Linked DNA regions of Schizosaccharomyces pombe. The gene in region 2 interacts genetically with the main gene of each other region. Each region holds a gene or a part of one and is shown on either strand. Other genes may lie near its edges.

Region 1 (3,866 bases), on a different chromosome or scaffold from region 2:
GAACATGGCCAGTAGATATTAAATGCCGTGGCTTGTATTCATTGAAAACATCCCAGACAATTAGTCTTGTATCATCACTTCCTGATAACAAGAATTCACCGTCCGCGGACCAGCTGAAAATTGTAAGCATTGTAGAACAAATTGTTATAAAACACTTACTCTAGTGTATTAACACATCCCGTATGACCAGTTAATTCTTTCTGCAAATCTATACCGGTCAACCAAGTCGAATTGCCGTAGATATCTCGACTGACTAATAAACTAGTTAGCATCATTCAAAAACAAAACAAGAGCATACTTTTTCGCTGAAACCAATCTCTATAATCCAATTGACGCAAGGATAGTGATATCCCAGACATGAGAGTCAATTCAGCGATTAACAAGCGTTGGTGGAAGACAAGCTCAATTCAAGTGGATGTCGGTAATGTAGCCACGATGAGTTAATACCATAAATCGTAACTGCAAACTCGAATCTTAGAGTATAAGCCTTAAACTCAAACTCCTATGTTTTTTTTAAAATTTAAAAAAAAAACTTGAAGCGCCTCTGTAATTTACTGAAGTAGAAACACTTCAACATGTGAGTTTATTTCGATGATCGAAAGGAGGATCTAATTGCACAAATAATCATTTTATTTTACACTAATATAATATTTACAAAATATCAAAAAACATTTTCATATACAATTGTCAGTTGTTCGAAAAAGGGGTCACTTCGTCGGCTATTATCCATTTCAGACCAGGAGAACGAAATTGACTGTTGTCCTTGCAGAAAGGAATTTATACCTTGTTGAAAATTTATCCCGTTTGTGTATTCCACAAGCATAGGTTGAAAGTGAGTATGAAACCAACATTGCACACTCGAAGGAAAGTAAAACTGGCCCTTGCGTTCGACTCTGAGCAAAAGGTCTTTCTCCGATGTTTCTAGGTTGCATTGTATCCCCCATATACGTTTTCCTTCTTTTATGCTTACATTATGGGATGATATATCTGAACTCTTCCACAGAGCAACTGGATTTATGTTTCGTCCCTTAGAGAAGGCATGCAATGATAGAATCAAAGATGAATTTTTTTTAATATTCAAACATTTAAAACTTTTAAAAAAAGTGGTACCAGTATTAAATTCCACAGCTTTCAAATAATTCGGGAACTGTTTTAAAATTTCGATATAATAGACGTAACGTATTTGCGATGAAATGGTAAGACCGTGCCCTCGAACCATTCTTTTTTCAGTATATAGTTCAAGACTTTGCTTGGCTGTCAAGCCTCCGAAAGCTACCAAGTAGCTACATATTACAGTTCCTGTACGTCCTTTTCCGGCCTTACAATGAACTACCAATGTCAACAAAGGTTGCGTTTGAAAGAGTGCATCCATATTCATAACAATAGCCCATAAAAAGAGAAGCGGAGGTGGATTATGATCTTGAAATCCATAATTTATGACATTTGGTTTAAATAATTCCAAATGGTAAACTGTTTCTTCGGCACATAAATTCAACAATATCCAGTTGTCTTTCAATTGCGTTGTAAGATATTTAAATACATCCAATTCGTCGTTTCGATATAACTTATGTATTCCAGCAGCCGGTGTAGACATAGCAATTACCTTGGAAGTAATATAAACCATATCTAAGTAAGCAAAGCTACGATTCACTTTTTCTTGTTTGAGGCCTTTTCGACCCCTCGAAACTACTGATCGAAGTATATTCATGGAAAATTACATGTTTAATTAGTTATTTGTAATATACTAGGATAATACTGCAGATGCCGTTGACTGTTGAAATATGAGGTAAGCTGCACTGTTCAGAAGAAAATAAGAGAAATACAATAAAGATTTTAGTAATGAACTTTAAGCGGGTAGGTATCAACCATAGTGACGTGAATAAATAACTAATTTACTTTTAATTATTTATATATTTTGATAGCAATGATTTGATAATCCATTTTATTGAAAAAAACATAAGGGCATAACTTTTCCCTTTAAACGATGCAAAAGTATTACTAGTAAAAAAAAATAATAAAGAAATAAAAAAAAAAAAATGAGAAAAATGAATAAAAAAAGCCAATAAGAAATACAATCGTAAGACATGAACCGTAAATAAGCATTAAAATATTTTGATAAAAATCCTTAAAAACATTTAAGTCCACCAAAAAACAAACAAACCCATGCGATTATTCGAATCCTCTAAAATAAATCCAAAACGTTTAGGTAAAAAGAAATAAGTGGTAGAAGTATATAACGTTAGACATATGCAATTAATCATACATTAAAAATAAATCGTGAGGCATACACATTAGCGAAGATCACCAGTTATTGAAGATTAACTGGATAGAGGACTTTGTAAAGTAATTAACGAGAGTGAGTAAGTAGCGGAAGTATCAGCAAATATAAGTACACTAACCTCTTGGCCTGGACGGATGGTTTGAACAACCTCAGGCTCTTTCATACGTAAACTATGAAGTTTTCCATCTCCGGAAATATCCTGATTGCCAGAGGAACTTTTAGCTGTTTTACTAGTACTGTCATTGCCTCGAGCCTTTGAATAGAAAGACTCCTGGGACTCAGCAGCGTTAGCTAAATCCCGAACCTGTGCATCCATCATATCGCATATTTGTTTGCACATCCCGTTGGAATCCAAAAATTTTTTCTTAAAGTCATTGAAACAAGGTGTATCAATTTCCAAAGAAGATGAAGCATAAAAGAAAGAAGCATTTGTCCTCCATGATAAATAGAGTTCGTGTTTTTGCTCATTAAAGTCGCAGTTACTAAGCGGTAGCAGATCCAAGGAGATCCTTCTTTCCAAGCCAAATTCGTATATGACTATGTCAATATACTCCTGGTCAACAGCCAAAACAAAAGCCTTATGCTTAACGAGCCCAGATCGTAAATTAATAGAATGGAGAAGTTGACATAAATATGCATGTAGACTTTTTTCCTGGGCATTACGGTAGAAGTTGCTCAGTGTGTTACAAGACTGAGTTATAGAAAGTAAACTTCTGTAGTCTTTGGAAAAGTCTGGTCTGCCATCAAAGGCTTCGCGTAATTGTCTCTGTACACATATATCGATATATCTACGAGTAGGGTGACAAAAATGGGTGTAGTAAGGACAAGAGAACACAAAATGCGAAACATCCTTAGCATTTGAAGTACCGATAGTGTATTCAGATTCATTACACATTCTTCTTAGAGTCAATTGTAGTAACATTTTGGTTCTCTTATCCTTGGTAGTTGCAATTTCGGTCATGATTTCCGAAGGAGTAGATGAAGCAGATAAATTCACTCCGGTTAACTCAGAAACTGCAACAAGAGATGCAAAGTCAGAAGGTCTTTGATTTTTTCGCAAAATCACTTTACTGGGAAAAACAGACATTAAATGAGATGCAACTTTCTCGTTTACCCAATGTTCAATTTGTTGTAAAGAACATGCAATAGGGAATGCCTCAAAAATACTCATGTTAATATTCTGTATATTAGGAATCTGCCCATCGCAAAATTCAAAGCAGTATAAGGATTGTAAGTCAAGTTTCTTATCTGTTTTCAATCTTAGTTTGGTAAGGACATGGGCCGATGCATCAACTAGCTGAAGCGCTTCGTTGGTTTGCAAGTTTGCTTGTGCACTTTCTAAACTAATAAAACTTGACGGGTGGATTACAGAGGGCCCAAGGGAACACTGTAAAACAGCGCCGCTTTTCAAATCAAGCTGTACAACTATACTAATTGTTAAACAATCATGTCCCTCTATAAGGGAAATCTCTTCTGAGACCTTTTTCGGTAAAAAGGGTACGGAACCTTGCAACAATTGTACTTCTGATACTCTATTGGCAGCTTCATCATCAAGAGGCATATCTTGCTTAACGTAATACGCGAC
Region 2 (5,935 bases):
ATCAAAACGTCGGTTCACGTACTCGGAAATCTTCTGGTATACCAATTATTGATCCTGTGACTCGTGCTCCTGCTGTACTTGCTGGCGCTGTTTCGAGCTCACGTGCTAAGCAAATGTGGTAAAGTTTGTACTCTTTTGTTTTAGCAATATGTTTATAGGCGTGCCTTTGTGCATTTTTACGTATTTAAATTCTGGCATATCTTCTATTTCTGTTATTTAACTTATTTGTATATCATTGGTTGTTATCTGTTTTATGATTCTATGGTTGCACTGCATGCTTTTTACATATCCTTTGTTTTTAGTTTTCTTTTGACTATGGATTCCCTTGATTTTACGAAATAATCCCGTTCCTTTTTGTGACTTTTACCTTTCGGTAGCTTGCTGACCTGGTGTTTCTTGAATTTTTGCATAGATATACGGTGGCATATTTTAATGCCGATTTACCTAATTTTGTTCTTTTTCAGTCTTAATTATTTTCATATTGAAATGCTCATTTACTTGTGCCATATTAATCTCCAGATAAGACCTTATTTCATGCTCGTTTATCTGCACTTTGTTAATAATTACCATCATACTCTCTCCAATAAAATGGTAATTATTGGTATTATATAACCTTGTTTTTATGTTTATAATGAACTAAGTTTGTCTGTTTATTTTAATTTAAAAAATGTATCTTTTGAAAGAATTAATTTACCAACTTTATTCTTCATATACTTTAGTCCCTTTCAGCTTAAATAATCCTTTTGACCTTATACCTAGAGCCTTAAGTACTCTGAAAGGTATAATTTTACCCTACTTTCCTTTTAATGCACATGATATTAGTAAATGTTATAGTGCAAGTAAACTATTGGAAATCGTTCAGGTATTCTTGATTTTTTAAATCCTTTACACCTTTATTTTTCTTTAATTTGAACGAGCGCATCCTGTTCTTCCTGAGGTAGTCTAAAAACAACCTCGTTGATATTGTGCAGATTGCTTTTCATAGCTTCCTTAAAAAACTCTAGAAGATAAAACTAAAAATGTTAGCCCTAAAAACCAAAACTTTAACCCACCTGCAAATCAGTATTATCCTCATCTTCTGAATTGTCTACGCCAGAAAATTCATCTTTGGACAATTCGTTAACATCTATTGTTAGCCTTTTCTTTTAAAGGTCTCGCGTACCATTAGCTGATAGCCCAAACGTCTCTGCACTGATAGGACCGTCATCCCAATCATCCGCTCCATCATCGGAAACTTCTTCAACAATTGCATCTTTAGACAACGAAACAAATTCCTCTGAAAGTAGTCGCAATATTTTTTCTCCAACGCTTACATATGAATATTCCTCGGGATCTAGTTTTGGTTAATGAAAACTATCAAAAGCTTTTAACATACGAAGTTTAGACTGCGACCGGGTTATAATGCGATTAGAATGAGAGATAAGTTCACCTTTAACTTGAACTGAATCAAGTAGAGGACTGTCAAAAGAATAAATTTTAGTCATAGCAATACAACTTTCAGGTTAGAATTTATATAAGCATCAAATAATATAAGGACATACATTATAGAAATGTTTTTGAAGTTGCTAAAATAAACAAAGTTGTCACACCAAACGGTCATAAGTACTTCAAAAGCCGTTAGCCCTTGTTCATTTAATAAAGACGATGTCAAGAAGTGCATCATTCCCAAAGAGTCCTTAACAATTAATTTGGCAAAAACGTAAATTATACTCTAAATAAAAGTCAGAAACAGGTATTCAATAAGAACTTACTTGAATAAACCGTGGTTGTTCAGCTATTGCCAATCTCTTAATGCAAGAAAGAAGAATGGACTGAAGATCGACCATTTGACTTGCGTGATCAGCCAATTCAAGTAAGATAGGCCCAACTAAAAAGCAGGCGGAATCATCACTCTCTTTGTCAAGTAACTGATGCAAAATAAAAAGAATGTATTGAAAGCCACTACTACCTGAAATCTCCGTTTCCAATAATTGTGGTGTGTCCTTTTCCAAAAGCCCCTTAAGAATTTCCTGAGATAACTGAAGCAGTTCTGTGTCTCCAGAATGAATTTGAGTAATCTTATAAACAGGGGGCAAGACATATCCAACAAATCCATTAGGAAGTGGTGAAGGACCTGCACGAATCAAACAAGAAAGCAAGGTAGCCCCAATATTAACCATAATCGGGTCTTCTTGATTCAGGACCTGTAATAGTTCTGGCAAAGTAATTTCACACATACTTTCATAGTTATTTGCCGCATGGATAATGTCCTCAAAGGTGTCTTCAATAATTCCACAGATGTAAGGATCAGAAGCGTTCGTAGCAACCAAATTAAATAGAAGTGGAATAACAGAATTACCTAATTCAGCAGCCTTTGCACAATCAAGTTTTACCGCAGAAGAAATAGCTTCCACAAGTAATACAAGAGCTTCATCGCTTGACTTCGAAGCATACTGAGAAAGAACTTCCAAAATCATCGGCTGCAAAGAAAGTATCGGTTTGACTTTTCCGACTGAACAAAAGCGCTCAATAGCTTTCATAGCAGCATACTGTACAGTATCAACTTGTAAAGCATTAACCAAATTATTCATTATTATTTGGAAAAATTGAGAGGCTACTACGGTGCTTTCAGAGAAATATCCGATAAAGAGGAAAAACCTAGAAAGAAGTAAAATTGGAGCATCGGAGTAATCAATACGGACTTTGATAGCCTCGTATATGGGGTCCAAGTAATCATCATAAGTGTCATCTGAAGCAGCATCCACGGAACAACATGCATACAAGAGGGCTTCTTGATATATCCAATTGATTTCATTGTTTAATATGTAAGTCGCGGACATTTCTCGTAGACTTTGCTGGATTGGTAAAGTGGTATGCTCTTCAAATGCACTTAGTACGCTGATGGCGGCACCGCGAACCGTATCACTAGCAAAATCCATAGAAAATTCGTTTGCGATATATTCACTGACATCGCTTTCATATACTTCAATTTGATGCTTAGGTAGTTGCGTATATTGCACCAGAAGTGGAATGCAAGGAGGTAAAGGAGGTACGGGGACCGTATTACTGACAAACAAGTTTTGAACAAACTTGCTTTGCAAAGCTACAGAAACGAATAGCAGTAGTTCAACTAAATAACGAATAGGGTATTTATCACCAAATGCTGAATCATCTAAACCATCGCTAAAAACAACTTCTCGTATATATGGATCTAGTAACTTTTCTATAATATTCCAAACAAGTTCGACGAAGGTCACAACGTACGGTGTCAATTTAGAAGGAAACAATTCGCGAAGTTTTGTAAGAGTCATAGCAATTTCTCCCATGATACAAAAATAACCACAGGAATCAGGTAAAATAACTTGTCGATCATCAACGAGGGAAACTTCAAACTTGTGCGAGAACATATCCATCCAAGGGGGAAGTATTTGTTCAAGAAATACACGAACATGTTCAGCTTTCGTTTCTTTATAAATCTCAATAAGTTCTAGGCAAGAACGAAACAGTTTAATTCCTCTAGCTTGCAACATCCTCATGGAATCATTAGGGGGAGCGGAAAATATAAACTGATAGAGAATGGATGCAAGTTGAGGTGCAATAATAAAGAACTGTTCTTCAACAAGGGACTCATCTACAAGCTCGTCCAGAACATCCAGTGAAGCATTAATAGAGTTTTCATTAGTAGATTGTAAAAGATGCAGAACGGCCGGTACAACTTCTGGCCATTCATCGGGATAATCCACGTTTGCAATTAGAGAAACAGCATATGCCACAGCCTTGATTAAAGTGAAATTGTCAAGGCTCACTAAAAGATGTAATAGTGTTTCTCTGACATGTTTTTTGACATTTTCATCGGGTATCGGTCCATCTTGAAATTGCTCAAACAGTGGAGACCAATGGTGAACAATATATCTTTGTAAATAAATGAGAGAACCTTGTCTTAAAGGAACAGAAGCACCAGAAGATGCGATATCTGTTAACTTCGCAGCAAAATCTTCGTAAAAGATAGTTAGTAATTTTTTCGGTTAGTTTATAGCTTAAGTAGCATACCGTGATATTTCTCAAGGTCTCGTAACCCCAATTCGGCTTGTATTCTTGAATTAGGATCAGCAGATTGCACTTGTTCAAGCAGCTTAATGATTTTGCTTTCAACCATTTAGCGTGATAATAGACGTTAAACAATTGGTAGGTTTTGATGCTATCTGCTTAAAGAAAGTAGATAATAATAAATATATTTATGTACAGACGGGTATAGTTAACCCCTTAAAAATGGCTGTATTTAATAATTTTTTATGCAGGTATAATGCAGGTACTACTAAGAGTGAAATGTTACTAGGAAATTCATGTTCAAAGAAGTGGATGGTAAATAGGTGACATTGTCACTTAAATTGCTAATGTCTAACAAAATAGTGTTAATTGAAACAATAATTGCTTGTATTGTTGTTCATTTAAAAAAAAAATTAAAAAGAAAGGCCATGTAACTATTACTATTTTCATTCTTGATTTTCCTTATATTTTAATGTATTGCATAACTGAGTTTTTTAATGACCGACTGATCTTTGAATACAAGAATATACCTAATCAATTATCGCTTATTTTCAACCGAAATATTTATCTGATGGTCTGAAACGAGAGAAGCACTAAACCTTTTCAGCAGAAGAGACAGATATTCATATAGAATGTCTGAAAGAATTTTAACACGTTTTTCAAGCATTATGTAATTTTTGTTCTTTGGGTATACCATTAGAGGCTTTCTTAACTTAAAATCTCATTGGCGAACTACACAGTATTATGTATTAATCGTGTAGTTTCGATCACTGACAAGTCAGAAACCAACCTCCAAATTTCATAAAACTGACACATACAACATTTTAGTGGAATTTTTCTAATGCGTGCAAATAAAGAGAAGTAACGCGTAAGCTTTCCATATAAGAAGTGCTTAATCCTTTGTTTTTCGAAGCGTATCCGGTCAAAGCCGATTAGACTGATACAAACCTTGGGTGAAATTTTCCCTAGCCAAGCACTGTTTGTGTCTTCTTAAATTATATATATCCAATACAAAACGGTGCAAGACATTGTTTTTGTATTTTAATAAATCTCACTAGTTTCACGGAAATTCCTAAAGATGATTGACCTCGATAACATAATAGAGAGATTATATGAAAAACAATTGATTGCTGAGTCCGTTATTGCTTATCTTTGTTCTCTCGCAAAGGAAGTTTTAATGCAAGAAAGCAATGTTGTCAGGTTGTCTACTCCCATTACCGTGGTTGGTGATATTCATGGGTATGCATAGATTCAATATTGCAAAAAGTTCATTCTTTGTGGACATTCTGCTTACAAAGTATATAGCCAATTTGATGATCTACTTGAAATCTTTCGTATAGGAGGCCCATGCCCATACACAAACTATCTTTTTCTCGGTAAGTTAAAATGATGTTCATTAGAATCACATTAGCTGATTACTACAAATCATTAAAACTGAACATTGAGAACACAGCACATGCTTTATTATTCGTTGCTAACTATTTGAAGGTGATTATGTTGATCGGGGCTATTATAGTATAGAAACTATAACCCTTTTGATATGTCTCAAGTTACGGTATCCAAAGAGGATTACTCTTTTGCGCGGAAACCATGAGTCCAGAGGAATAACCCAAACCTATGGATTTTATTCAGAATGCTTAAGAAAATACGGTAATGCTAATGTTTGGAAATATTTTACCGATATCTTTGATTTCCTAACACTTTCTGCAACAATTGATGACACTATTTTTTGTGTTCATGGTGGACTTTCTCCTAGTATTCAGCACATAGATCAAATCCTTGTCTTAGACAGGTTTAGAGAATTCCCACACGAGGGACCTATGGCCGATCTCGTGTGGTCGGATCCGGATCCTAGCGTGCAAGAATTTTCACTTTCGCCCCGTGGTGCAGGTTTTTCTTTCGGTGAAGT

Evidence for each region.
Region 1: mutations in kap114 (region 2) and ptn1 together harm fitness more than expected from each alone (negative genetic interaction), as found in Schizosaccharomyces pombe (one large-scale study listed by BioGRID).

Annotation. Positions count from the first base shown.
Region 1 is NC_003423.3:3,159,665-3,163,530, reverse strand, and holds ptn1 (phosphatidylinositol-3,4,5-trisphosphate3-phosphatase Ptn1), read right to left. Parts: upstream 1,803-3,866; 5' UTR 1,709-1,802; coding exon 662-1,708; 3' UTR 590-661; downstream 1-589. Other genes in the region: iqw1 (WD repeat-containing protein), read right to left, coding at 1-113, 160-253, 299-359; SPOM_SPBC609.01 (Dis3-like exonuclease family protein), read right to left, coding at 2,319-3,866. UniProt on the Schizosaccharomyces pombe protein: Acts as a phosphoinositide 3-phosphatase and regulates PtdIns(3,4,5)P3 levels.
Region 2 is NC_003424.3:2,372,251-2,378,185, forward strand, and holds kap114 (karyopherin/importin beta family nuclear import signal receptor Kap14), read right to left. Parts: upstream 4,303-5,935; 5' UTR 4,136-4,302; coding exon 4,030-4,135; intron 3,974-4,029; coding exon 1,752-3,973; intron 1,712-1,751; coding exon 1,542-1,711; intron 1,521-1,541; exon of another isoform or gene 1,495-1,520; coding exon 1,376-1,494; exon of another isoform or gene 1,334-1,375; coding exon 1,163-1,333; exon of another isoform or gene 1,127-1,162; coding exon 1,053-1,126; exon of another isoform or gene 1,014-1,052; coding exon 894-1,013; 3' UTR 802-893; downstream 1-801. Other genes in the region: SPOM_SPAC22H10.02 (uncharacterized protein), read left to right, coding at 1-122; ppa3 (protein phosphatase type 2A), read left to right, coding at 5,105-5,265, 5,332-5,402, 5,515-5,935. UniProt on the Schizosaccharomyces pombe protein: Required for nuclear protein import and mediates docking of import substrate to distinct nucleoporins. Serves a receptor for nuclear localization signals. Mediates the nuclear import of TATA-binding protein (TBP) and of histones H2A and H2B.